Linked DNA regions of Coturnix japonica. The protein of the gene in region 3 purifies or fractionates together with the protein of the main gene of each other region. This does not show direct contact. Links are inferred from orthologs where the notes say so. Each region holds a gene or a part of one and is shown on either strand. Other genes may lie near its edges.

Region 1 (4,325 bases), on a different chromosome or scaffold from region 3:
ACAGCAAACCATCCAGGAAGCTGTGACGGGATGATGGCTTCTGTACTCGTATTTATTGAAGCTGCTTTATCAGAATGGAGCATCGAGTTTAAAACTGATCCTTTAGTAAGTGAGAGGCTATGAAGTGCAAGTGCAGGGGCTGTGACTGCACAGCAAGCCCACAACTGAGCATTGCAATGCAACATCAGCACACAAAAGTTGTCTAAGTTGCATGAAGCGTAAGGATCACATGAAGACCCATGAAATGTTTGATAAGGGAAAACACAAAAACATAAGGGCAGGGTGCCAGGTGAAACTAAGCTTAGATCAAGGTGCTAAGCTGTCTCTCTTCAATAATCACAATGATTACAGAAAAGACTGAGCAGACGTGCGGGAAGCAGCAGCAAAACGCTTTCTTTGTGGCTGGCCGCTATCTGAGAGAGCAATGAGTGCTCTCAAGAGATGCCAATAAAACCAGGAAACAAATTCACAGAATCACAGAATGACCTGGATTGGAGACCTCAAGGATCATGTAGTTCCAACCCCCCTGCCTGCCAGGGCCACAACATACACATTTACTAGATCAGGTTTGCCCAGGGCCCTGTCCAACCTTGTCTCTTGAACACCTTCAAGGCGGGGCATCCACAACCACCCTGGGCAAGCTTGTTCCCAAGAGCCTAACCACTCTTCTAGTGAAGAAATCTCCCCCTAACATCCAACCTAAATCTCCTCTTTTAACTTAAAACCATATTCCCCGTGTCCTGCATTGTCGAGCCCTTTTGAAGAGTTTACTCCTCTCTGGGAGTAAGTTCCCTTCATATTGAAAGGCTGCAATGAGGTACCCCGCAACCTTCTTTTCTCCAGGCTGAACAAGCAACTCCCTCAGCCTGTCCTCATAGGGGAGTGCTCCAGCCCCCTGATCATCTTCGTGGCCCTTTCTTGGACCCTTTCCCAAAATCTCTATGTCTTTTTTGTACTGAAGGTCACACCGGACACAGTACTCCAGATGGGGCCTCACAGAGCAAAGGTAGAGAGGGCCCAATCACCTCTCCTATCCCTGACTGCCACCCTCTCCTGATGGAGCCCAGGATCCATATGCTTTCCAGGCGCCAGAGGCGCAATGCTGGCTCATGTTGAGGTCTTTGGTCCATCAGGACCCCGGCGCAGACTGACTCTTAAGGGCCACTCCTCCCAGCCTGCTTACGGTGCCTGGGGTTCTTTCCGGCCCAAGTGCTAAAAACCATTGCATTTGGGCCGCTGTTGAACTCATTAGGTTCACCCGAGCCCAGCTTTCCAGCCTGTCAAGGTCCCTCTGAATGGCATAAATTCAAGTCCCTAAGCCCGGCCATGAACGAAAGAAACACTCCCGCATCGCCACTCATCCAGCAGCACCAACGAGCTTCCAGGCCGTGCTGCTACATCTCCCTCACCAACCCCACATAACACAGCAGACCAGCACATCCACCCCCGCCTCTTCCGGGCGCCGGCCCCGGTGTGAAAGGTCCCGAAGCGCCCGGATGGAGGCGGTGCCTATACAACCTATATAACCCGCCCGCCGCCGCAGCTCCCTCCTCTCGCCGCCTCCTCCTGGCTCACCGCTGTTCGCTGGGCCTCGCGTCGCGCCCCGCCCGGGAATAAGTCGGCCAGGAAGGCCCCGCTGCCGCCATGGTGAGGCGGGGGGCGACGGAGCGGGGGGGAACGGGTGGGGGGCAGCGCCGCGTGGATCCGCCGGGCCCTGCCGGCCGTGTGCCGCCCGCTGGGCCTGGGCCCGGGCCCGAAGCGCGGCGCTGGGGCGGGGCGAGGCCGCGTGTGGCCGCGGAGCGCTGCGGGGCGGCCGTGTGCGATCGGCCCCGTGGGCCGCCTTGGGGAGAGCTCGGGCTCTAGCGCCTGGCTTTAGTGGGGGCTCTTACCCGAGGAGCTTACCCGAGGGTCGGACGGAGAAACGCCGCGCTTCTTGTTGTTTCTTTCTTTTTTAATGCTTCTTTACTGTGTGTTTTCCCATCCTTTTATAGGTTCGCTTTAATACAGCCCCTCACAAACGTTTAATTGCACTGATCTCTTCAGATCAGTGCCAGAAGTAGCACGGTCAGGCTTTCTGGTCAGATGTATCTCTTTGCTCAAAGTTGTGCCCGTTTAGCTGATATCCTCGTTAGGATTTATAGTGGGGCTGTTAGGGTGGTAGAATTTTACAGGCGTTTGGATACGAGTCACACAGGGGTTGGAAGGCACCTCTGGAGGCCATCTGGCCCTGCTCTCTTTAAAGCAGGTTCCCAAGAGTAGGTCACACAGGTGAGTTTTGAGTATCTGCAGAGATGGAGGCTCTGCAGCCCCACTGGGCAGCCTGTTCTGCTGCTCCATTGCTCTGACAGTAACAAAGTTCTTCCTTAAGTTTGTATGAAACTTCCTGTGTTCTGGTTTTGGACCATGCACTTTTTTCTGTTGCTGCATACCACCATAGAGTCATCTTGCCCAATAAACTTGGTTCCTGCGCTTCAGATATTCATAAATAGCGATGAGATCCCCTCTCAGTCTTCCCAGGGATGATCAGTCCCAAGGTCTCTCTGCATTTCCTCTTAAGGGAGGCACTTCAGGCCTCTAATCACCTTTGTATCCTCCCACTGGTCTCTCTTCAATAGTTCCCCGCATTTCTTGGAACTGAAGAGCCCACAGCTGGACACAGTATTCCAGATGCAGCCTCACCAGGGTAGACTAGTAGGGAAGGACAAGAATCAGTCATGATCAGTGCCTGGACAGGCTGCTTTATATGTAGGCAAATCAGGCAGAGGTGTTACCGAAGCTTTCCACCCTGCAAAGCAGTTACTCTTCACACTGCTTCTCACAGCAATGACTGCTCTCATCATCTTTTATTACCACTGTTTGGACAGTGCCGTTGTACCTGCCCGATCACATCAAGCATATAACATAGTCCCAAAGCCAAATTGTACTTCACATTCCACAAACCCGTTTTCGGTTGTGTTAGTTGGTGCTGATTGTAGCGTTTGATCTCTCTCACGTTTCAGGCGTTTAAAGATACTGGCAAGGCACCTGTGGAGCAAGAGGTAGCAATTCATCGCATCAGAATTACTTTGACCAGTCGCAATGTCAAATCACTTGAGAAGGGTGAGTGATACTTCATTTTCTTTTAAACTAAAGTAGCACTAAGAGAGAGCTTCTGTCCCTCTGTTTTTCTGGGGATGTTACTGTTGGAGTGTTGAGAACCCAAAGGCATTGGTTTTCTTCATTGATACTTTGTCATGCTTGTCATTAAGTAGTCAGCAGCTCAACGTTCAGTAAGGCATTAATAAATTCCATTTAGGAACTGTGTTGGCAACATTTAAATTGAATATTATAAATGTAAAAGCAATACTTGTTGCCTGATTTTTGGGTTGCTGGCGGCTCAAATATGGGTTAAGTGGTACTAACAACTTTCTATTGCTGTTGTGATTGTTTTTCTGCTGTAAGTCTTTTTATGTCAATGCTGTTGGCTGTGAGGATAAACCTAAACCTGAATTGCAGTGATCATTTAATACGCTATTCTGAGCCAACGTATCTTGTAAAAGTCTCTGTTTAAAACAACAAACAAAAGATCCACAAGCCTAAAACCATTCTGTGTTTTCAGTCTGTGCTGACTTGATCAGAGGCGCTAAGGAGAAAAACCTGAAAGTGAAAGGACCTGTGCGCATGCCCACCAAGGTATTTAAACCTGATAAAAACCATGTTGTGTTTCTAAAATGTCTATAAAACAAAAAAAAAAAAAAAGCTGAGATAAAAAGCAATACTACTAAATGGAGGGTTGTTTTATAAAGACGTAATGGCATATCTACGTTCTTTGATGCTTTGAGAACCGTTGCGTGATAAAAGTAGAAAGGGCTTCTTGTGTACATCAGCTTGATACCCTGTGTTTATGGTTTTGCTTCAGACTCTGCGCATCACTACCAGGAAGACACCTTGTGGTGAAGGCTCCAAGACCTGGGATCGTTTCCAAATGCGGATCCATAAGCGACTCATTGACTTGCACAGCCCTTCTGAGATCGTGAAGCAGATCACTTCCATCAGCATTGAGCCAGGCGTAGAAGTTGAAGTTACTATTGCCGATGCCTAAATCGTAGTCATCTACTTTGAATAAAGCTGGCTTACAAATTTTCTTTGCTGTCTTTTTTTGTATTTATGCCAAGAGTCTGTTGTGGTTCTCTGATTTTCCTCAATAAGGACATAACCAAAATGCTAGATGGGAAGATCGCATTTTCCTGACATTATTTTTCAGGAAGGACACATGAATTGTGAGATGATGAAATTTGGGCATCGTAATTTGATTAGAGATTGGTGACTATATGGATGTGCAGCAC
Region 2 (4,233 bases), on a different chromosome or scaffold from region 3:
GGCACAACCGTCTCTTCACTGCAGTCATCCTCAGGTATTCTGAATGCAGCAGGCAAGGCTGTGTGGCTGTGTTTACATTCACAGCTGTGGGCACATGCAGCTGGGAGGGGTGATGTACTGGCCTGCCATCATGCGGGGCACATCTACATCATGCTGCCGTGCAGCAGAGGAGATCATAGAATCATAGGTTCTCCCATCCTAACTGCAGCACTGCACGTGCCCAGTGTGCAGCATAATACTGGGAAGACAGAACGAGGGAAGATCAAATGTAATTCGTTTGGCTGTGAAGGAAAGACCCTACAACACACCTACAGTGCACAGACGAGCAACAGCCCATGAATCAGGAACAGATTCAGCTCTCTGCCTCTCCTGACCAGTGTCCTCTGATGCTTTAGGAAGGGCAGAAGCAGCTCGGGAGCTTGGGGCTTTCCAGTTATTATTTTCTTCTTAAAGAGCAGTTCTCACTTATTTCCTCATGGTGATCTCTCCGCAAATCATGTAGATTTTAATGTGTTTTCCCTTTTTCTGGAAGGAGGGAATCAGTGCTGTGCCACAGAATCACAGAATGACCCAGGTTGGAAGGGACCTCAAGGATCATGTAGTTCCAACCCCCCTGCCTAGCAGGGCCACCAAACATACACCTTTACTAGATCAGGTTGCCCAGGAGACCCTATAGATACCCATAGAGACCCCATAGACCCCATAGATCCCCATAGAGACCGCATAGATCCCATAGATCCCCATAGAGACCCCATAGACCCCGTAGATCCCCATAGAGACCCCATAGATCCCCATAGAGACCCCATAGACCCCATAGATCCCCATAGAGACCCCATAGACCCCATAGATCCCCATAGAGACCCCATAGATCCCCATAGAGACCCCATAGACCCCATAGAGACCCCACAGATCAGGTTGCCCATGACCCTGTCCAACCTGGCCTTGAACACCTCCAAGGACGGGGCATCCACAACCTCCCTGGGCAGCCTGTTCCAGGGCCTAACCACTCTCCTAGTGAAGAACTTCCCCCTAACATCCAACCTAAATCTTCCCTCTTTTAACTTAAAGCCATTTCCCCGTGTCCTGCTATTGTCAGCCCTTTCCAAGAGTTTATTCCCCTCCTGGGGGTAAGTTCCCTTTAGGTATTGAAAGGCTGCAATGAGGTCACCCCGCAACCTTCTCTTCTCTGTGCCAGAGGTGCACAAGCAGCACAATTGGGATCATATTGTGGTTAGATTGGATCACACTGGGTCATAAAAGGCCCATCCGGTCAAAAAAGATCACAATGGGTTATAAATGGGTTGAACTGGGATCAGAACGGCTTTAATCAACGCACAGTCCTCCGAGCCACCATAGAGTCTACCCCCCTCCCTCCCGCAGCCTAGAGCGGCTCAGCGCCATTTCCGGCTTCCGAGCGCTGAGCGGATGTGACGTCACTCCAGGGCGCGCGATTCGAATTCCGGCGGCCGCCATTATGCCGCGGCCTAAACCGCACTCCCCGCGGCGCCGGAGCCGCCCCCCCACAGCTCCCCCCCCGACCCCCCGGAGACCCCGCGGTGAGTGCAGCCGGCGATGGGGGGGGTGGGATTGAGAGGGGGGTGTTGTTTGTTTTCTATCCCGTCTTTTCGCCTTTATTTTAGTCCGCCGGTATCGGCCCGGTCAGAGAGCGCTGAAGGAGATCCGCCGCTATCAGAGCAGCACCGCGTTGCTGCTGCGCCGACGGCCCTTCGCTCGTGTGGTAACGGGACGGGCCCGAAACGGAACCCACCCCCATAACACATAACGGGGACCACAAAAGTGGGGACCCCCCCCGAAATAGGGACCCCCCCAGAAATGGAGACCCCCCCCCAATTGTAGGGACCCCAGCCCCAAAGTGAGGACCCCCCCCCCAAAAAATACCCCTGAAATGGGGACCCCCCAAAAAATAGGACCCCCCCAAAAGTGGGGACCCCCCCCAAAAATAGGGACCCCCTCAGAACTGGAGATCCCCCCCCCAATAGTAGGGACCCCAGCCCCAAAGTGAGGACCCCCCCAAAAGATGGGACCCCCTCAGAAGTGTGGACCCCCCCAAATGTAGGGACCCCCTAAAAGTGGGGACCCCCTCCAAAAATAGGGGCCCCTTCAGAACTGGAGACCACCCCCCAATAGTAGGGACCCCAGCCCCAAAGTGAGGACCCCCCCCCAAAACTAGGGACCCCAGCCCAAAGTGGGGACCCCCTCCCAAAAGTAGGGATCCCCCCAGAAGTGGAGACCCTACCCCCCAATAGTAGGGACCCCAGCCCCAAAGTGGACCTCCCCCAAAAGAATGGGACATCCCGCAGTGGGGACCCCCCCCAAATGTAATGGACCCCCCCAATAATTAGGGACCCAGCCCCAAAAGTGAGCGACCCCCCAAAGTGTTGGGACTCTCCCCCCAGAAGAGTGGAGACCCACTCCAGAAGTAGTGGACCCTCCAGCTCCAAAGTGGGACCCCCCCAAAAGTAGGGACCCCCCGCCAGAAGTGGAGGATCCCCCCCCAATAGTCTAGGGACCCCACCGCCAAAGTGAGGACCTCCCCAAAAGATGGAGACCCCTGAAGTGGGGACCCTCAGCCCAACAGTGGAGACTCCCCCCAAAAGTAGGGACCCCCCCACTAAAAGTGGATACCCCCTCCCCATATATAATAGGAGACCGGCCAGCCCCAAGTGGGAACCCCCCAAAAAATGGGACCACTCCCCGAAGTGGGGACCCCCTCCCAAAAGTAGGGACCCCCCCAGAAGTGGAGACCCTACCCCCCAATAGTAGGGACCCCAGCCCCAAAGTAGGGAACCCCTTAAAAGTGGGGACCCCCCCCAAAATTGGGGACCCCCCCAAATGTTGGGACCCCCTCAAATGTTGGGACCCCCCCAGAAGTGGAGACCCTACCCCCAAATAGTAGGGACCCTAGCCCCAAAGTGAGGACCCACCCCAAAAGATGGGACCCCAGCCCCAAAGTGGGAACACCCCAAAAGATGGGACCCCCTCAGAAGTGTGGACCCCCCCAAATGTAGGGACCCCCCCCAAAAATAGGGGCCCCCTCAGGACTGGAGACCACCCCCCAATAGTAGGGACCCCAGCCCTAAAGTGAGGACCCCCCTCCAAAAGATGGGACACCCCCGAAGTGGGGACACCCAAAAAAGTAGGGACCTCCAACCAAAGTGGGGACCCCCTCCCAAAAGTAGGGACCCCCCCAGAAGTGGAGACCCTACCCCCCAATAGTAGGGACCCCAGCCCCAAAGTGAGGACGCCCCCAAAAGATGGGACACCCCCGAAGTGGGGACCCCCCCCAAATGTAGGGACCTCCCCAAAAGTGGGGACCCCCCCAAAAATAGGGACCCACCCAGAATTAAAGACCACCCTCCAATAGTAGGAACCCCAGCCCCAAAGTGAGGACCCCACCCAAAAGTAGGGACCCCCCCAAAAGTAGGGACCCACCCAAAAGTAGGGACCCACCCCCGAAGTGGGGAACCCAGCCCAAAGTGGGGACTCCTCCCCAAAAGTAGGGACCCCCCCAAAAGTAGGGACTCCCCCCAGAAGTGGAGACCCCACCCCAATATTAGGGACCCCAGCCCCAAAGTGAGGACCCCCCCAAAAGATGGGACACCCCTGAAGTGGGGACTCCAGCCCAAAGTGGGGACTCCCCCACAAAAGTAGGGACCCCCAAAAAAGTAGGGACTTCCCAAAAGTGGAGACCCACCCCAGAAGTAGGAACCCCCCCCAAAAGTAGGGACCCCCCCATAAAAGTGGAGACCCCCCCCCAATAGTAGGGACCCCAGCCCCAAAGTGGGAACCCCCCAAAAATGGGACACCCCTGAAATGGGGACCCCCCCAAAAGCAGGGACCCCCCAAAAGTGGGGACCCCTCCCAAAAATAGGGACCCCCCAGAAATGGAGACCCCCCCCAATAGTAGGGACCCCAGCCCCAAAGTGGGAACCCCCCAAAAGATGGGACACCCCCGAAGTGGGGACCCCAGCCCAAAGTGGGGACTCCCATCCAAAAGTAGGGACCCCTATAAAAGTAGGGACCCCCCCAAAAATAGGGACCCCCCCAGAAGTGGAGACCCCCCCCCGAATAGTAGGGACCCCAGCCCCAAAGTGGGAACCCTCCAAAAGATGGGACACCCCCGAAGTGGGGACCCCAGCCCAAAGTGGCGATTCCCCCCCAAAAGTGGGGACCCCCAAAAAAGTAGGGACCCCCCTAAAAGTGGGGACCCAC
Region 3 (3,531 bases):
CTCTGGAAGCTGGTTTCCTTGCCTAGCAGAAACTTAATGTGTTAATCATCAAGTTAGCATGCTTCATATGCCTTCAGAAACCTGTTACTTCCTTGCTTCATATACCCCATGAAACTCAGTATTTGTCCTTTGTGAAGGTTAGATGTCTGGTAGTTTTTCTGCATCTACTCAAAGAAGGTCAATACACAAATTAGAGTGGGATGATGGGTACAAGCATGGCACCTGAAAAGCACAGTCAGTGCGTGCCTTTCCAAATTGTGAATCAAACTTGGCTGTAGTTGTAGAGGGAGCTCTAAATCAGGGAATGTTTGGGCTGGTTTCAGTTTCGTTTCTGCTTGAAGAAAAAGCAGTGTGGACACGTGCATAGAAACAGTTCAAGATAATTATGGTAATTATTAGCCACTTCTTGTATTGAAGATAAACTCTACAGTAGGTTTCCCAGTATTTCTGTTTTCAGAAAGCTTGTTTTATGCATAACTCTGTATGCAGCTTTGTATGTGATCTCTAACAAAATGAATAATTTTCAGACTCCAGATTCCAAGAAGGACAAAACTCTAACTCCAAAAACACCCAAAGTTCCTCTGACGTTAGAGGAGATCAAAGCAAAAATGCAAGCCTCCGTAGACAAGGTGAGTTTGTTAACTGTGATCAGCCTTATTTTTAACACTTCCAACAGCAGAAGAATGGTTTTGAGAACTGCATGTTACTGCTTGCTGTGCTCTTAACTCAGTGTATATTGATAAATTCGTATTGACACCCAGAAGTGAAAGAAAGATGATTTAGAATAAGCCTCTGCTTGTGAGAAAGTGAGGAAAAATATTTAACCAGTAGTAGTTATTAGTTTTGTATTTGCTGACTGAGTGTGAGGCTGCAGGATAAAAGTGGAGCACAGTAATCACTTGGGGTGATGTTTACTCTAGTGGTACAAAATAGTATTCATGACTTGTGTTTGGGGCAGCTAGAGTAAGGAGGAGTTCTTAGCATGCTTGGAATTGCTTTGTCCTCCAGCAGTATACAGAGTTGATATCCAGAGGCATGTAAGGCTCTGTAACTTCCAGAAGGGGGAGATAGATGCTTGTGATTAAAGCTGTGTTTGGATAGAAGTGCTCTGTCAGTTGCTTGAGTAAAAAGTGTGGTAAGAATCAGCAGTTCTTTTCCCATAAGCCAAGTCTGAATACCTGTGTGCTATGTAGGTTCACTGCAGACAAACCTTTACTTTAGAACAGCTGGAGGTGAGGACCTGACATCACCAGCTGTGGTTTTTTACTTCAGTAACTTAGAACTGCATAAAAATCATGTGTCCTTTGGTGACTGAACAATACGTTTGGAAAGCTGTTTTTGAATAAAGCTGAAACCTACAGTGATGACAGTAAATGGAGAGAGTTTTTTTTTTGTGATTTGAGATGAGCTGTTTCCTCCTTATGCTGACAAGTCACCCAGAGAATCACTATCATGGAATGGTTGGGATAGTTTCAGACCTTGTGCTGTGTGTGAGTAGGGATGTCTTCCATTTTGCAGTTGTTCCAAGCCCCATCCAGCCTGGCCTTGGATGCTTCCAGGCATTGGGGTATCTGTACCTTCTCTGAGCAACCTGTGAATGCTGATAGGATTAGGCTTATCTTGTGTTTAGATTCCTGAAGTTTTAAGGCAGTTTTGTCCCACTAATGCAAAATGCAGCAAAAATTATTTTAGTGTACAGAGGGGTGCAGAGTGAGCAAGGATGGATGGGTGGTGCTTCTATCAGGACAGACATGCGGATCCTTATGTGGTGAACCTGATGCTGACAAGATGTTTTTGAGGTCAGGTTAACCTCTTGGTACAGATGGGTGCTGGGGTGGTTCCTTGAGATTTCATGTTTTTTAAGATGGTGTTTATCTCTATGCAAAATGCAGTGTGGCGTTTAGCTGTAACAGCCAGTGAGTTAACAGCTTAAAGAACAGCTTCCATTGTTTTATTAATGTCATAAAGAAGGTTTTCTTTAGTAAATATTAAGCAGATATCAGCAAGCAAATGAAACCAGTAGATTGCAGGGGTAAGGCATCATCCAGACGACATGAGTGAAGATGCCTGTCCAGGCATTTCAGTGCAGGCACAGTGCTTTGAGAAATACCTGGGTGCCATAGAAAAGCAAACTTAAACCTTTAGCTTTTGGACCTTGCAAGGTGAGTTCAGTAAAATTCCACTTGCGTTGCAGAAGGTTGAAGCTTCAGCAGAGCTGTGGAGCGTATGCGGCTCGTTGCATCATTCCAATAAAGCTTGCTTTTTTTCAAAATAGGGTTGTTCCCTTCCGAAGCTGGAGCCCAAATTTGCCAACTATGTTAAGAATTGCTTCAGGACGGAGGACCAAAAGGTAACTGGATTTATTGAAACCTGATAAAACCCAAAGCCTTTTATAACCTAACCTAGGGATTCTTTTCCACTTCTTAATCTTTACAAGCTTTGGACTCTTTCAAAGGGTTACAAACCACGAACAATGCTTCAAATTAAATGGGAACAGTTTTAAGGGTTTAGTTGGCTAAGATGAGAAAGTTAATATTTTATTACATTTTTCCAGCTTTTATATGGTTGGTAAATTATCTCTTGCTTACCGAACCCACAGAATTTTCCTTTTGGCACCGTATTGGTGAAGGAAATGAGCTGTGGTTTTCCTTGCTGCTGAAGTTGGCCACCTAGGCCAGTCTGCCGCTCAGCCTTTTGTTGGGGAGGGTGTCTGGGAGGGGGAACTGTTTTGCAATTGAGATTATGGCTTTCTCGCCGCGTTTTCTCCCAAAGTCAACTGAACTCTTGTAAGAGGGCAAGCCAAAAGGTGGTATCAGGAAGCAAGCTTCTGTATTAGTTATTACTCAACTTGTACTGGGCTAAAAAGCGTCTTAGATTTCCCTACAGAAATTCCTGTAAGTTGAAAACTTCTCTTCCAGTGACAGAATTCCTTACGCTTTCTTGCTTCCTTCGGTGGTTCAGAGTAAACGTGTCTGATAGGCAAATTGATAGGTTCTTGAAAGAGTGCTTAAAAGCAGTTAGCCTCAGCTACTGGAGTGAGTCTGACATTAGCCAGGGTAGGCAGAGTTCAGCCAATATTTGCCTAGCTGGTCCACACCCATCCTCTCACTTACCTTCACTGGATTTTTATTATTGTGATTGAAGCGAATAACAGCCTTCTAGCAGAAGGATCCGATGTGTTGCTTTCAGCTTAGTTTCCTCTGAAAGAAATGTGGGGTTTTTTTGGTCATTGAATGTCAATATAGCAAAGCGGGTGAAAAATAAAAACCACAACAAGAAATAGATTTCAGTTTCTAACCATTTGTGTACACTTCCAGGTCATTCAAGCTCTCTGGCAATGGAGACAGACTCTGTAAGAGAACCATTTAAACAGTTTGTTAAAGTCTGCAGTCTTACTTCTGTAACCGTTATTTGGCTGTTCTTTTTACAAATGCTGAAAGAGCTTTCCCTACAGTGTCTGATAAATGTCATCCAGATTACCTTGCCAAGAATGTGTTGTCCAAAATGCCTGTTTAGTTTTTAAAAGACGGG
Region 4 (4,000 bases), on a different chromosome or scaffold from region 3:
TTCAAACCCCTCTCACGGATGTGCTGCTCAGCAGCACCAATGACTGTTGCAGCCACTTGCTTTTTTGCAGGAGCTGCAGCCCGTGGGAAGGTGTCTGTGTCATGGTTACATTACTCACATGCTCTGAGAAGCTTTTTCCTTCACCCCATTTACTGCTGTTTCCCTTGTAAATAAAGGAGTGCACAGCCTTTTTGTACCAGCAAATAACAACCAGCCAACACATCCTCTCTTTGGGGAGCATTAGGGCTGGCAAAGCTCAGGACATCACATTCAGTGACCCCAAGAACACCAAGCAGAACAACCCCAAGGAGCCGCTGCCTCTTTGGGGCATCACAAGCTGTGACCTGAGTCTCAAGCCTGAGAAATGAGCCAGATTTTGATGCCTGAGCAACATCTGCCTCTGGGTGTGTAACGTGGAGGGTGATGTTCAGGATGCTGAATGCATTGCAAAGGATCCCATGCGAATCAGCTCCAAAGCGCCTGTGATGGAGGGACCCGAGGCCCAGGGTTCAGCCGTACCCAGCACACAGCGGTGGATGCTTTCAGGCATCTCTGCCAAGCAAAGGCCAGGAGAACGTGTCTCTGCTTCCTCACACAAAGGACATGCAGCACCTGCCATAGGACAGCTCCCAGCAAGAGGCAGATGGAACATGAGCAGCCAGTTACTCCCGACGTGGTGTGTGTGAGTACTTAGAGCCCTTGCAGGGCAGGGCCGTGCTGGGTCCCAACCCATCTCGCTCTGTGGAGAACTCCGCACTCCCTCAGGGCGGGGCGGGGCGCGGCCTCCCCTCAGCGCGACGTGACCCCGCCCCCACGTGACGCACGCACGCACACACGCACGCGAGGTGACGCCGCGGCCGCAGGCCCGCGTTTGAAGTTGGCGCGCGCCCCGCCCCGCCCCTCCCTCCCATCATGCCCCGCGCGCTGCCGCTTCCCCGCGCGCGCCGTCCCCTCCCCCCCCCTTTCCTCTCCCTCCCCCCCCCGCTCCAGCCGGCGGTCCGCGGCAGCCGCGCTCGCGCATGCGCACTCCGCCCCGCCCGCCGCCATTTTGTGTCCGAAGCGACTGTGGAGCGATTAAACCTCGAGCTGGTGCTGGGCGCGAGCGGCCGGGCCGCGGCGGGGCGCGACGGGAAAGGCGGCTCGGCGGGGCCCGGGCCGGGCTGCGGGGCGGCGTGCGGCGGGGCCTCGGCGCCGGGAGCGGAGCCCGGCGGGGGCGCGGGCGCAGGTAAGCGGTGAGCGGGGGGTTTGCAGTCGCTTTCTCCGGCCTCTAGGTGTCACGATGGGGCTCCGCGCCGGCTGGGGCCCCGCAGCGGCCGCCGCCGGGGAAGCAGGGGGCTTTGTCTCCCTCTATCGTCCCCAGCGCGGCCCGCGCCTGCCCGCTGCCACCGCCGCCGTTCCCCACAGCGCGGCGCTGGGCCGCGGCCCGCCCGGCCCCTGGCGGCCGCCTATTTTCCTCCCTTTGTCTCCCCGCCGCCCCACCGGGGCCCGCCGGCCGCCCCCCTCCCGCCACGCGAACCGCCGCCCCCCCCCTCCCCCCCCTTCCCTCCTTTCTCCTTCCCTTTCCCTCCCTCCTCCCCTCCCTCCCCGCCCCGCGTTCCGCGCCGGCCCGCTCCCCCCGTTCGGCCGCTCTTGCTTTTCCCCCCCCCATACCCCCGCCCCCGCTTCCTCCTCCCCATCTCCCACCTCCTCGGGGCTCTCTCTTTTCTCCCTCCTCCAGCTCCTCGTGGGGTTTCGGAGCCGGAGCGGAGCGTTGCGGCGGTTCTGTTGGCCCGGCCCGGCCCGCAGCCCCTTCCTGCCGCCACCTCGCTGCGCTGCCGCCGTGTGCGCTGCGGAGGGAGAGGCGCTGCGAGGCGCAGAGCGGGACTCGAGCTCCCTCTGCAAGGCAGGCTGAGCAGCGCCATGCAGCGCCGGCCCTGGCACGGCTGGGGGGCGCCCGCTCTCGCCTCGCTGCCCTCCCGCTTCCCCCCACCCCCCCCCTCCTTGCAGGCCTCGGCTCCGAGCTAGAAAACGTACTGCAAAATGTGATCCTCCACCCCCCCCAACCCGTGGATATCGCTGCTTTGAATCGTACAAAAGGGGCGATAGCACACAATTCTGCGCCCTGCATCAACTTGATGTTTCCTGCCGTGCTTAGAGCTCCAGATGCCATCAGTCTGCCTTCATTTTGTTCCTTGTGGCCGTCCCCAGGACTCAGCCCTTAGCACTGCTGCTGAGAGCACACCCGCTTTCCTGTTGCTGACTTCCTATTTTTTACCCGGTCTTTTGCTCCCCCCCCCCCCCCCCCCCCCCTCCACTCCCTGTTTGCTGCCAGTTGCTAATGAACCCCAGAGGTGTTGTTAACAGTGCCTGAGCTGCTCCGTGTGTACAGCCTTGAGATTTGGTTCCGTGCAGGAAGTGTTTAAGTGCTTTCTCAGGTCCCACGCTTTGCTCGTGCTGAGCCTGTTGAACTGGTGGCTGTCTTTTGGGCATGAGGAGTGGCTCTGAATTCTTCCTTCAGTCCCATTTTACCTTCTATGTTAGTGCAGGAGAAACCATGAGGACCAAAGAAGGTCTTGAGCATATGAACCAAGCAATGCTTTCTTTTTTTTCCATAGGATGGTCGTTTTTCTTACTTTCATTTTGCTTTTCTCTTTGGACTGCGTTTTGCAAGTCCTTTAAGGGCTGCACTCCTGTTTTGGAGAGCTCCTTGAATGCCTTTGGATGGGGGCTGTCACCCCAATGGCAGGTATGGCAGCACCTCCAAACTATCAGACACCATAATGTAAGAAGGACTCTGTCTCTATGTCCCCTTGCTGCCCTATGCAATTTCAGTTGGATACAGTTATTCTCTTATTAGCGGCACAGCTGTCCAGGGAGGTGGTGGAGCCCCCAACCTTAAGGTGGTCCAGAACCACGGGGATATGGCACTGAGGGACGTGATGCTGTCAGTGTGGATGGATTGAGGTTGGACGTGGTGATCTTAGTGGTCTTTTTGAACCTTAATGATTCTATGTTTCTAACTCAGTATTAATATCTTCTGTATTTATAAGGAAGATGCAGCGAATGATTTCCTTAACGCTCACGAAGCTCCTCGCGGGATATTTTTGAGGCACGACGTCAGAGTCAAAAGGTGCAGAATTGCACTTGCTCTACTCCCCGGTGGCCCTGCAGCTGAACTAACATGGCTCAGGGAGTTTGCTGAGCTGTCACTCCAGTGCTGAGCCTGCTGCAGCTCCTGCCCACGCCGTCAGCAAGGGAAAGAGCTAATCCAGGCACAGCTCCTGGTGCTGGCAGCCTGTGCCTTGGCTGTGAGCTGGGATGTGTGTTGCTACCAGGCTTTGTGGCTGCGGGTCAGTAGCTACCTGATACTTCAGTCTGTAAAGGCCAGAAGCTGACCTGTGTTGTTTGTATACTATTAATCACTTAAGAATTTCTTCCCTGTAGTGCTTAATATCCTGCTTTTCTCCTGATGGTTTTGGAAGGGAGGTGGGGAGTGTTGCTGGGCTCTTTGCTCTTTGAAGAGCCAGCGTGTTCCTTGCCCTTATGCTCTGTACCTGGGCAGATTGATCACTGCTTGTGGGATCGAGTTGTGCTCAGCTCTTCCTGCTCTGTTTTTGGTTTGTTGGTTATTTCTGAGGGGAAAAGAAAAAAACCAAAAGCACACAAAGCCATAACCTGTAATTTGGGCAGGGAGAGAACAAGGCCAAAGTTACTGTTGCTGTGCAAATGAATGAGGGGCATCACAAGTACTGGAGAAACCAGCACTGAACATTGTATAAAGGAAGAAAAAGCAAATTCCTTCCATGCTGCTGCTTTCTCCTCTGTGTGTCTGCAAGGGGGGTTGTTCCCTGGCCTTGGATCTGGCAGAGGTGTAGCTGAGAGCCCACCAACAAGCCATGCATTGAGGTTCAGGGCTTCTCCTGCCCTTATTATAGTCCTAAAAGCTTTGCACACAAATTGATTCTACCTTTGGCTACTTTTGCTTCTCTTACGTAGTGTTTAGTAGAGATTGAATGCTCGA
Region 5 (2,987 bases), on a different chromosome or scaffold from region 3:
AGTACAAGGTGAGATTGTGCAAGCACTTCCCAGGCAAGTATCCTGTTCTGTCATGTCAGTAAACCACCAGTCCTGGCTGCATAAGCTTCTGGCTCTCAGATGTTAACCCTGTCCTGTTCCTAACTGGGATTAGTAATTGTGGTTGGCATCAGACGAAGAATTATTGATACTTACTTCTCACAGATGTTCAGAGATGCTTGGTCCAGGAACAAGAGTTTAATGAGCAATAGTCTAATGAGCTACAGGGCTTTGTTACAAGTCTGTTGTGATCTAACCCAACTTTGCCATTCCAGCAAGCAGAAGAATTGTACCACACAATGCTGAAGCGTTTCCGTCAGGAGAAATCAGTGTGGCTGAAATACGCCTCTTTCCTCCTGAAGCAAGGCCAGACTGAGGCTACACACAGGCTTTTGGAGCGTGCTCTCAAGGCTCTGCCCACCAAAGAACGTAAGCACTTGTTGCTAATCGTAACTTGGTCTATGTATTTGTGGGTATCCAGTAGATGGTCTGCCTTCTGATATCTCTGCATGTGACAGTGGTTATACTAAGTGAAAACTGCAGCCGGATAGTGTTGAATCTGCTTTCCTTGAGTGTAAGAGGAGGGGAAATTTCAGCCTGGTTATCAGTACTAAAGACTCTTGTAAAACAAAAAAAAATTGCAGCTCCTTCACTCTGACCCTCCACCTTAGACCAGAATCACTTTACACACTAGTCTCTGAACAGAGATGATGCTGTCTCTGTTCTCTTCATAGGAATGAGGGCTGCTGTGATCCCCTAATATGTCATTTCTTGTTCCAGATGTGGATGTCATTTCAAGGTTTGCACAGTTGGAGTTCCGTTTTGGTGACGCAGAACATGCCAAGGCCCTGTTTGAAAGTACTCTCAGCAGCTACCCAAAGCGAACAGATATCTGGTCCATCTACATGGACATCATGATCAAACAGGGCAGCCAGAAGGAAATACGGTAAGTTGTGCTATAAGCAACGGGGAAAGGGACAGTATAATGCTTGAAGTAACACCCGAAAAGAGCACAAGTGCCCTGCAACATGATATTGTTGAGTGCCTTCCAGAGCAAAGGAGAATTTGTATCTCATAGAGAAGAACAAAATCTTGTTCTCTCCAGGTCTGGGAAGACTCCAAGGAGATCTGCATGGCAGAGTTAGCAATTAATAGTAAGGAGTGACCTGCAGAACTAGAGTGCTTACAGTAAGGTTCAGCCCTTTTATCTCTTGTAACATGAAACTAAGGAGAATGGTCTCTTTTTTGCTGCGATGACAAAAGGAAGTTCAGCTTCTCACACTATAGATCCAGCTGCAGGCATTTCATGACCATTGGGTCAAATACAATGGCTGGATCTTAGTGTAAGTCATCCTGCAACTTTAGAGTTACGAGGAGGGTTTCTGCTTTGAGGCTTTCATCAGTTCTCATGAATCTGTTCCTTGAGGCATTAGATGGTGAATCTCCTGTGAGTTTCTGCTCTTTGCTCAGTGACAAGGTACAGGGCTTGTGTTGACTGCTGTCACCAACGTAGCAATCTGAATCACTTTGTTTTTTTTGCAGGGACATCTTTGAGAGGGTCATACACCTGAACTTAGCACCAAAGAAGATGAAATTCTTCTTTAAGCGCTACCTGGATTATGAGAAGAAATATGGTACAACAGAAACTGTCATGGCTGTTAAGACAGCAGCAATGGAGTATGTAGAGGCCAAGAGTTCCCTTGCTGACACCTAAACACAGCGCAAGCAAAAGCAGAGACTCCACTCTCCATGCAAAGTGGGAACTGAGAGGCATGGAGTTTCCATGGACAGTGTATTTCTGAAGAGTACTGGTCTGTGACCAAACTGAAGTAGAAGGATCAAACAATCTAAAGAAAAGATTTCATAAATGTGTGCAGCTTTGTCTGTTACAGATAACCTTTGTCTGTTGGTGACTAAAGACAGTTTTAAGTACAGATCGTTTTATAATCAGTGTAAACATCACACCCCTACCTGGTCTACTTTCCTATGGAAATAGTGCTGTTGCAATTCACTGTCTTTAGGTACAGTGATGTGTTACTGATTTCTCTGGCAAGATGGCAGAGAAGAATCTTGCCTTTCACTTTTTTTTGATACTTAGAAAGATTAACCCGAAGTCCTTTTGTGCTTCTAGTGATTGACAGTGCAACCCCAAATCGTGATGTAGATGAGGTTGGGAATTACCTTGTTCAAACCCCTGCTCAAAGCAGGGTCAGATAGAGTAGGTTGCCTGGGGCCACATCCAGTTTGGTTTTGATCTCCAAGGATGGAGATGCCACAGACTGTCTGCCAACCTATTCTGGTGTTTGTCTATGTTTACAGTAAAAAAAAAGGAAGAAAATACCTTTATTTTACATTCAAATGGAGTTTCTTGCACTTCAATATGTGCCCATTTTCTCTTGTGCTGTCCCAGGACACCACTAAGAATTGTTTGGTTCAACCTTTTTTATACTCTCCTGACAATTATTTATACACATGGATAAGATCTGGCTTGAGCCTTTCTTCAAACTGAAAGCTCCAGCTCTGTTTCTCTTTTGTGTGTGATGGATGCTCCAGTCCCGTTGTCATCTTCCACTCTGGTAAACTCAGTGATAGTATTTCTACAATAAGATGTGGGTGATGTGATGGTTTTTTATAGACAGAGAATTGAAAGTGAGGGGAAAAAGCATGGAATGCAAAGAGGTGATTATCCACTGTAGACACTAGCAAGTGGATGCCCAAGTTCAAAACAATGAACTTGAATAACCTCACTCATAATGTGCTCTGAACTTGAAACCAGAGTTCTGCAGGACTCAACACTTCTGCCTCTCTGAATGCCCAGCATGGGCAAGGCTGAGTAATTAAGCATTCAGTTAATTCCCAAATCCGATGGGATCTAAAAACAAGTTATTTTCCTGCTTATCCCCAGGGACAGCAGGGTGCTGGACCCATACTTAATGCTCTTCTAGAGAAGGAGGAAACTTTCTTGAAAC
Region 6 (4,228 bases), on a different chromosome or scaffold from region 3:
TTGCATCATCTGCACAATGGGCATTATTACACTGATCTCTTGACTAAGTCTTTGAGTTCCACAGAAGCAAAAACCTTCTGAGAGACACAGAAACTGTCATCCTCCAATTAGGTATGTGCATCCAGCAGTACCCGTGTGCTGCTATTTACCACAGTTCCTGAGTCTTACATACTGAATTAAAGCATTCAACTTCATCTTACTCAGAAAACGAATAAAATTGTGCATCTCCTTTTATACGTGAAGGTAATTGGTTCATTCTGTACCCAGTTTCTCTAGCTATTTTCACTGCCTTGCAGGGTAAGGCAATGCTAAAATGGAACCGGTTGTCTAAATACAGCAGAGAAAATAGTGGTAGCAAGTTCCTACAGCGTATAGAGCATGAAGTAATCCATGGTGTTGGGGTTAACGTTATTAGACAACAGGATAAAAGCACTGACGTGGTGCACAGTGGCTGCTTATTCAGGGTAATGAGTGAGAAAGTGGCTGCATACATTATAAAGGCCATTCAGATTCATGTACAGGAGGGACTTTGGTACAGGAGCGTGGTGTAACCATTGGGGTTGGGAATAAAACTGAAGCTTCTGGATATTTCAGATGTTTTTGGGTGGTTTTTTCCCCATTTGAAAACCATTATCTATCTAAGGACAAAACCTTCATCAACTCTATTTTCATGGCATAAATAGAAATGAACTAAATCTGGTGTCAGTGGGAGCTGACATGGATGTGTCGTATTGATATCATGAAGGACATACAGACACATGAGGGCTGGACCTGGGGGTATCTCTATTGCTCCCATTAATTACAGCCCTGCCTTACAATCCTGGTGTGTCTGAGCGGGGTACAGATCAATGTGGGGTGTTAATACAGCATAGGGATACAGCAGCTCCTATAGAATGGACCCTATAGACCTTGCAGCCATTGAACCGAGAGATCAAACACATTATAAGGGAAATAAACCAACCCCAGGGCTTTCATCCCATAATGAAGTTCTCCATCTCAGCACTCATAAAGGGACCATTCTGTCCCATCAGCGCTTGACACGGTTCCTGATCCCACAGATAACGTAGAGAAAAACCAATTGAACTCAATGAGGCTGTGTTTTTTAATGCAAAAACTCCGCTTTTAAACACTCCCCCATTAACATAAGGGAGCTACTAACAGCAGGGCGGCTCGGCTCCACGTGAGCACAGCGCCCCCTAGCGGCCGCTCAGCGCCACACCTGCCAGCTCAACGCTTGCTTTTTTCTGATTGGCTGCAGGTGTTCGCCTTCCTCATCCATTCTGCTTTTTGATTGGTCACGATGACAACTCCTCTCCCAGGTAACGCTTCCTCGGCCTACGATTGGCGGCGGGGATTGATTCCAGGTGGGACGTAGCTCGCTATTGGCTGACAGGTAAAGCGGGAGGCATCTTATTGGCTGTGTGAGGGGTTAGTCCTCTTAGTCCGCCATGTTTGTCGCGGTGGCGCCGTTGCTACAGGAGCCGGTGGGTGGGAGGGGGGGGAAGGCGGGGAGACTGAGGGGGATATGGGGCGGTGTGTGGGGAGAGCGGCCCTATGAGGTACAAAGAGCGGCCCTATGAGGTACAGAACCGCCCTGTGAGGTACAGGGTGAGACTGGGCTGCGGGCTGGGTGGGGAACCGGGAGTTGGAGCTGGATCCGAACTTCAACACGGGACTTTAAACAACTTCAGGCCGGGACAGGCCGCAATAGGACTCGGTGGGATCCGGGAATGGGGCTGTGTGGTAAATAGGGCTGGGAAAACGGGGCGAACACGCTGAAAAGTCGAGGAGAAAACTTAGTTTCTCTGTTAGAACTGTGCTTCCTCTCTTCTTTCTACTTGTACACAGTAGGTTCGATGCGTTCTGCTTCGGAACGGCGAGTTTTATGGCTTAAAGGAGAGGATCTGTAACGTCGGTGTGATAAACACGGACCATGCCCAGCAGGATGGGCTCCAAAGTGCATCTGGACAAAGATAGCATCAGGGTGAAGGCGCACTACAGCGGGTGAGTCCGTGTGTGTTCTCTATTGTATCCTGTTGTATCCCTCTGTTGTGTCCTGTTGTATCTCTCTCTTGTATCCCACCTAACTTTGATGCCTGTCAAACAAGAGTCTGATCTGCTAACAGAGTAACCAAGTCGTTGTAGTTAACATCTGGTAATTAGAGTTATTAAAATCCCCTCCAGATTCCCACAATGTGCTGCTGGAGGAAGGACATAAGTGGGGAAAACGTGCACAAATGGTGTAAAATTACTTATTTAGATAAAAATGAGAAGTTGAAGAATCTTAATTGCTCCTGATGCTCACGGTGGAGTCATTTGAAGCAGTGCAAGCAGCTCGAGGATCTATTTGTACTAAATTAAACACCTGAAGTTTAAACAAACGCGTTTTCCTGCTGTGAATAAATACCAGAAGTAAACTCTTGCATGTTGTCTGTTAATCTGCCTTTTATTTTTGCTGTCTCCTTCCCCCTCTTTCCCCTCCCAGCAGTTTGAGTAGTGCAATGAAATGTTAACACGCAGCTGCTTCCGTTATCTCTGCAGTGCTTGTTTTGGCAGCTCTGATTTGAGACAATAAATCAAGTCATGGTCCTTATGGCTTCAGCCACTTGTTGACAGAGTCAGGAAGCCTCACTTTATGGCTTCAGCATGAAGTTTGGTTTTTAGATTTAACCTAATTGATTTGCTGCCACAACGAGGACCTTGTGAGCTGGTTGCTTTGATCTGCCTCGTTTTTATGTGATGTTTTAAGTCATTTGAGGAGTTAAATGTTTGGCTGAAGTAAATCTTCAGGCTTGAAGTGTTTAGCTTGAAATGACTGGCATGTGTTGGCAGTAGCCTCAATAATCTTCTCTGATACTTTCCTGCCCAAATAAGCAAATGTGGCTACTGTAGTTTTTAATACTACGCTGGGAAAAAAGGGCTTCTAATTAAATGTAATTATGAAATTAATTCCACCAAACTTAATTGGGAATGAGGTGCTTTCTTGTTGAGTTTACTTACCAGGTCAATGCCGAGTAACTCAGCATTTGAGTGTAGAATTGAGTGGAGTTTTGGCCTCTTCCACATCAAGCTGGAAAGCTTCAGAATTAGGGCTGAGTTCATTCAGGAAGCTGCTAAAAGAATTGTATAGAAATTAATAGTATGCTAAATAAAATACCAATAGGAATCAATAGTAAATGATGGTATCACTTGGGAATCTGAGTTAAATCTAAGCAAGAGGAAGTTATAAAACTATGTTCAGTCTATCTCTGGGTTCCAGGGCTGCAGGTATGTGTGTTTCTGGGTGTGGTGCTTCATACCATCATGTAATATAAGCCTATAAATACACAGCAGAAGGGAAACACGTGTCCTTCTCATTGCGTTATGTCAGTCACTTGAGTAATCATTATTCATATGTTAGAGGGAGCGTTTGATATGAAGAATGCTGATTGTGTAAGTGTGGTGTTGCAGGTTGGAATCCATAGATGGAATTGTTGGAATACTTGGGTTTATGCAGGTATCTCTGACAGAAGTTTGATTTCATGTCATGCAGGGACATCCTGATAACAAACCTGGATGCATCAATAAACTATGATGAGCTTTGTAATGAAGTGCGTGAGATGTGTTATCTGCAACAGGAGCAGCCAATTACCCTCAAGTGGATTGATGACGAAGGTACAGTAAATACTGCTTGGTAGTTCTCATTTTTGGTCTGTTATGGTACAAACAGGCACTGAACAAACTTAAATTAAATTAAAATTAAATTAAACTTAAAAGCCAGCCATTGTAGTGGGGCTGCTTTTGTTTCAGCTTCCTGCTTTATAGAACAGGGTTACATCCCCTGCTGATTACATATAAAACATGACTCAGAATATCAGGATTATACTGTAACCAATTCAAATCTGCAAAGTGAAGGCTCTGAAATTGAATTGTTTTGTTATTACTTGCTTGGACACTGAATGCCAAGGAACACATTGACCTCAGACACTTGTGGTACTAATGCTGTACCCCTCAAAATTCTCCATTCAGCAAGAGACTTGTTGTGTCTTCTGAACTGTGATTTCCCTCTGGGATGTGCTGTTGGGAAGTAATGCAGTTGTGGTATCAGAAGACCGTTTAACTTCCCAGATTTCTTGTTTTTTGTGTAAGATGGATGTTGAGAATTCCCATTATAAGTGATTTTGTTCTGTGGCTGTGCTGGATTGTTAATATCCTGTTGGTGTAAAACAATCATGGTATCATTAAGGTT
Region 7 (3,444 bases), on a different chromosome or scaffold from region 3:
CAAGAAATGGATCCAACAAATAGCTTTAAGATTGAAGTGATGTTAGCTCTGTGTTTTTAAGTTCTAAAATGGTCTCTGCTGCTGTGCTTGCAAGCTGAAATAATTTCTGAAACAACACTAAGGTTTAAAATGGGTTGGTTAATAAATAAGTTGACTGTAGGATCATGTCTGCGTTACAACTGACTTTCAGTGGTTTTGAAGATCAGTTTTATGCTCACAAAACCCATGTTCTTTCATCCAGGTTCTTTTCGACCATGTTGGTTTCCTCAAGAAGTACGAGTCTCCTCAGGACATCCTTAAAGAGTTCTTTGAGCTCAGGCTCCGGTACTATGGGTTAAGGAAAGAGTGGCTTATTGGGATGCTGGGTGCCGAGTCTGCAAAGCTGAGCAACCAGGCTCGATTCATCCTGGAGAAAATAGATGGCAAAATTGTGATCGGTACGTGCTGCTCTTGGTTCTTTGGCTTTTGAAACTGGGAGAATTAGGTGCTCTCTTGAGCTCTGTCAGCGCCCTCTCAGCCCCAGTCTGGCTATTCACAAAACACATCAGAGCTTATCTTTCCATTCTAGTAAGATAGAAGAGGAAAATGCTTCACGGAACATCCTCTGTAGTGTTATGCACATATAAATTAAAACAGAGCACTCTCAGAGGTTTTCTATTGTGTATTTGCACTACTTCAAAAGTATAAATGTAGGAAAAGAAGTGCTGGTGTGGGGGGCTGGGGGGGGTTCCCAGTTGGTTTGGGTTTTCTGTTCCCGTGCATTCTTAGGAGCCTGTATCTTCTCTGTGTTATCTTTATGAAACTGCAAAATATTCCAAATTGTGTTCTCAGTGAAGTGGAGTTTCAAAGTTAGAAGGCAGCCAAGCTCACAGCATCTGAGCATCATGAGCTAGAAAAAGAAACAGGTCTTTGTTTACAGCACTTGAACTTCTCAGCCAGCTCCAGCTCAGCCTACAAGGCAGTCTGTATTTCACTTGCATGTATGGAAGGCACAGCTGCACAATGGGTCATGGGATGCTCTGTGGTTCGTGTCTGAGGGCTGCCCAGTGTTCCTACAGTCTGTGTCTGTTTGACTCAAGAAGGGAAATCGTTCCCTTGCAATGCGTTTCCTTGGGTTGCTGCAATAAGCAGTTCCAAGGCTGACAGAGCTGGTTTCATTTGTATTTGTGTCTCACGGATGATTGCCTCTGCGACATCAGAAAGAAGAAAATTCCAGCTGACGCATTACCATTGGCTGGGCCATTTATAGAATAGATTTCCCAAGTGATGCCCAATGAGGCTCACACTATGCTGAAGCCTTGAAGTCACATCAGGGCTTTTTCCCCCACCTGCCTGTTATAAAACCATTCTGATCCCATCACGCTTCCTTTTTTTCCCCAAACTCAGAGTCTGTTTAGGGCAGGGGAAATGCATGTACGGAAATGATGGAGCAAATGTTTCGAGTGCTCCAGCAGGTGTTCCTGACAGCCCAGGAGAAATGCTGAGCTAACAAATCGCTCCTAAATAGCAAATTTTGGGTGTTATTTTAGGACCTGCCACGTGTCCCAGCTCGAATTAGGAAAGGCTGTTTTAGAGCTGTATAGGATGCTGAACTGTTTTAACTACTGGAGTCAAAATGTGAAGGTCATTTGTCTTTGCTGACAGGGACTGCAGTGGTCACTAACTGGCAATTCTGAAATGTCTCTTCACAGAAAACAAACCCAAGAAAGAACTGATTCAAGTTCTTATCCAAAGAGGATATGAATCAGATCCAGTGAAGGCCTGGAAGGAATTGCAAAACAAGGTAGCACTTCAGTCATCAATTCGTTATCAGTTCTTAGGAAGAAGCAGAAGCTGCTTTGCCATTTGGAGAATTCAAGAGCTGGTGTGCCTGATAGGGAAAGCGAGACAAAGAAATGTTCAGTCTCTCATTTGGAAGGCACTGAGGCAGAGTGGTGACTGATCCAGCAGTGGCAAAGTCCTGCTGCTTCCATTTCCAGTGCTCCTCAAGCGATCTGCTCTTCCTGAGCGACTTGTTGTAAAAGGGCAGCAAGGACGATGGCAATTGTTAAGCAGCCTGAGAAGAACTTGGTTGCTCAAGACAGAGGCCAAATAGGGCAGAGCAAAAGAGCTTTAAAGAATTCTTTGCAGTTGGTCTCCTCTGTGTGGTAGCAGCTTTCAGGCCATAATTCCTTCTGTATCCTTTTCAGAATTGTGCTTTAAGAGGGTCCAGGACACTGTGAGCACATGGCAGCCCTGTCATTGTATGTGGCTGTATTTGCTGACAATGTTTGATTAAATTCTCATTCAGGAGGAAGAAGAAGAAGGAGATGAGAGTGACCAGGAACCAGCTGCAGCTACGGGGCCGGATTTCAACTATCTTCTGAACATGCCCCTTTGGTACCTGACTAAGGAGAAGAAAGATGAGCTCTGCAAGCAGAGAGATAACAAAGTATGCTCCTTATTTTTCTGATGAAAGCATTCTATTTTTCTATGATGGGTTAAACTATGCGGCTCACCCACGATTCTCATTCACTTTAGGAAAAGGAGCTGGAAGACCTGAAGCGCAAGAGCCCCTCTGACCTGTGGAAAGAAGACCTTGCTGCCTTTGTTGAAGAGCTGGATGTACGTCAGTGCTCTGAACAGATGATTGGCTCCCTTGTAGCTTTATCCAGTTATTAACTGAATTCTTTGCCATACAAAGGAAACAACAGATGGAAATTTGTATGTCTTGCATTAGGTTCACTCCAATAGGAGTTAAAGCTTTCTTTGCCTTCCTAGGATAGGGTAGGAGTACTGTGCTGGGGGGCAGGCAGTCAAACCACCAAGGAGGCTGGGGTATTTTCCAGTAGGACACTGGCTTTTATTCTCATGGTTGTGTTACTTTATGTTTGATTCTGCAGGCGGTAGAAGCCAAGCAAATGCAGGATGAAATGGCAGGGATAACTGGCAAACCTTTAAAGGCAAAAGGAGGGAAACAAGGAGGGAAGCAAAAGGTGACAAAGGCACAGCTGGTGGAAGTGATGCCGTCACCTCATGGCATAAGGGTTGTTCCTAAGATCACTGCAGAAATGAAGGCGGAGGCAGAAAAGAGAACTAAAAAGAAGATAAAGGTAAGAAATATATGGATGCTCCAAACACTGTTATTAGATCTTCCCCAATACAGGCAGTCCTGTAGAAACACGTTCTTGTTAGCTGAACTTAACCGTGCCATTCAGCTTCCTGCAGCCTGAAATACAGAAATGGCTGTATTTCTGTATATATATCCACCTGTGCTGGCCTGCAGTCAGCTGCTGCTCCTTTCCTCTGGATGATTCCATCTAACAGCTTTTCCAGTTACATTTGCACTGTTGATTTCACTCACCCTGTTTGAGTTCTGCATCCCCAACACGCCCCGGGGCTGTGCCATCAGCACACAGGCAGTCCCAAGGCACGCTCAGGTGTGGCCATAAAGTTCCTGCTTGT

What was found.
Region 1: the proteins of NPM1 (region 3) and RPS20 purify together in Homo sapiens (affinity purification with mass spectrometry; 3 studies listed by BioGRID and IntAct, with this or other methods). This does not show direct contact. The link is inferred for Coturnix japonica from reciprocal best matches to the Homo sapiens genes NPM1 and RPS20.
Region 2: the proteins of NPM1 (region 3) and CENPA purify together in Homo sapiens (affinity purification with mass spectrometry; 4 studies listed by BioGRID and IntAct, with this or other methods). This does not show direct contact. The link is inferred for Coturnix japonica from reciprocal best matches to the Homo sapiens genes NPM1 and CENPA.
Region 4: the proteins of NPM1 (region 3) and CTCF purify together in Homo sapiens (affinity purification with mass spectrometry; 6 studies listed by BioGRID and IntAct, with this or other methods). This does not show direct contact. The link is inferred for Coturnix japonica from reciprocal best matches to the Homo sapiens genes NPM1 and CTCF.
Region 5: the proteins of NPM1 (region 3) and PDCD11 purify together in Homo sapiens (affinity purification with mass spectrometry; 3 studies listed by BioGRID and IntAct, with this or other methods). This does not show direct contact. The link is inferred for Coturnix japonica from reciprocal best matches to the Homo sapiens genes NPM1 and PDCD11.
Region 6: the proteins of NPM1 (region 3) and PRKCZ purify together in Homo sapiens (affinity purification with mass spectrometry; 3 studies listed by BioGRID and IntAct, with this or other methods). This does not show direct contact. The link is inferred for Coturnix japonica from reciprocal best matches to the Homo sapiens genes NPM1 and PRKCZ.
Region 7: the proteins of NPM1 (region 3) and TOP2A purify together in Homo sapiens (co-immunoprecipitation; 3 studies listed by BioGRID and IntAct, with this or other methods). This does not show direct contact. The link is inferred for Coturnix japonica from reciprocal best matches to the Homo sapiens genes NPM1 and TOP2A.

The regions. Positions count from the first base shown.
Region 1 is NC_029517.1:100,555,798-100,560,122, reverse strand, and holds RPS20 (40S ribosomal protein S20), read left to right. Parts: upstream 1-1,514; 5' UTR 1,515-1,644; coding exon 1,645-1,647; intron 1,648-2,999; coding exon 3,000-3,099; intron 3,100-3,461; exon of another isoform or gene 3,462-3,526; intron 3,527-3,598; coding exon 3,599-3,672; intron 3,673-3,898; coding exon 3,899-4,081; 3' UTR 4,082-4,124; downstream 4,125-4,325. UniProt on the Homo sapiens protein: Component of the small ribosomal subunit. The ribosome is a large ribonucleoprotein complex responsible for the synthesis of proteins in the cell.
Region 2 is NC_029531.1:53,059-57,291, reverse strand, and holds the start of CENPA (histone H3-like centromeric protein A), read left to right. Parts: upstream 1-1,426; 5' UTR 1,427-1,474; coding exon 1,475-1,556; intron 1,557-1,640; coding exon 1,641-1,738; intron 1,739-4,233. UniProt on the Homo sapiens protein: Histone H3-like nucleosomal protein that is specifically found in centromeric nucleosomes. Replaces conventional H3 in the nucleosome core of centromeric chromatin that serves as an assembly site for the inner kinetochore.
Region 3 is NC_029528.1:13,578,407-13,581,937, forward strand, and holds part of NPM1 (nucleophosmin), read left to right. Parts: intron 1-527; coding exon 528-629; intron 630-2,275; coding exon 2,276-2,350; intron 2,351-3,317; coding exon 3,318-3,356; 3' UTR 3,357-3,531. UniProt on the Homo sapiens protein: Involved in diverse cellular processes such as ribosome biogenesis, centrosome duplication, protein chaperoning, histone assembly, cell proliferation, and regulation of tumor suppressors p53/TP53 and ARF.
Region 4 is NC_029526.1:1,462,675-1,466,674, reverse strand, and holds the start of CTCF (transcriptional repressor CTCF), read left to right. Parts: upstream 1-1,176; 5' UTR 1,177-1,225; intron 1,226-1,683; exon of another isoform or gene 1,684-1,920; intron 1,921-3,041; exon of another isoform or gene 3,042-3,109; intron 3,110-4,000.
Region 5 is NC_029521.1:20,696,290-20,699,276, forward strand, and holds the end of PDCD11 (protein RRP5 homolog), read left to right. Parts: coding exon 1-8; intron 9-293; coding exon 294-447; intron 448-798; coding exon 799-964; intron 965-1,560; coding exon 1,561-1,732; 3' UTR 1,733-2,460; downstream 2,461-2,987. UniProt on the Homo sapiens protein: Essential for the generation of mature 18S rRNA, specifically necessary for cleavages at sites A0, 1 and 2 of the 47S precursor. Directly interacts with U3 snoRNA. Involved in the biogenesis of rRNA.
Region 6 is NC_029536.1:1,556,751-1,560,978, reverse strand, and holds the start of PRKCZ (protein kinase C zeta type), read left to right. Parts: upstream 1-1,424; 5' UTR 1,425-1,484; intron 1,485-1,848; 5' UTR 1,849-1,933; coding exon 1,934-2,004; intron 2,005-3,532; coding exon 3,533-3,654; intron 3,655-4,228. UniProt on the Homo sapiens protein: Calcium- and diacylglycerol-independent serine/threonine-protein kinase that functions in phosphatidylinositol 3-kinase (PI3K) pathway and mitogen-activated protein (MAP) kinase cascade, and is involved in NF-kappa-B activation, mitogenic signaling, cell proliferation, cell polarity, inflammatory response and maintenance of long-term potentiation (LTP).
Region 7 is NC_029542.1:4,094,068-4,097,511, reverse strand, and holds part of TOP2A (DNA topoisomerase 2-alpha), read left to right. Parts: intron 1-241; coding exon 242-437; intron 438-1,691; coding exon 1,692-1,783; intron 1,784-2,290; coding exon 2,291-2,431; intron 2,432-2,520; coding exon 2,521-2,604; intron 2,605-2,882; coding exon 2,883-3,092; intron 3,093-3,444. UniProt on the Homo sapiens protein: Key decatenating enzyme that alters DNA topology by binding to two double-stranded DNA molecules, generating a double-stranded break in one of the strands, passing the intact strand through the broken strand, and religating the broken strand.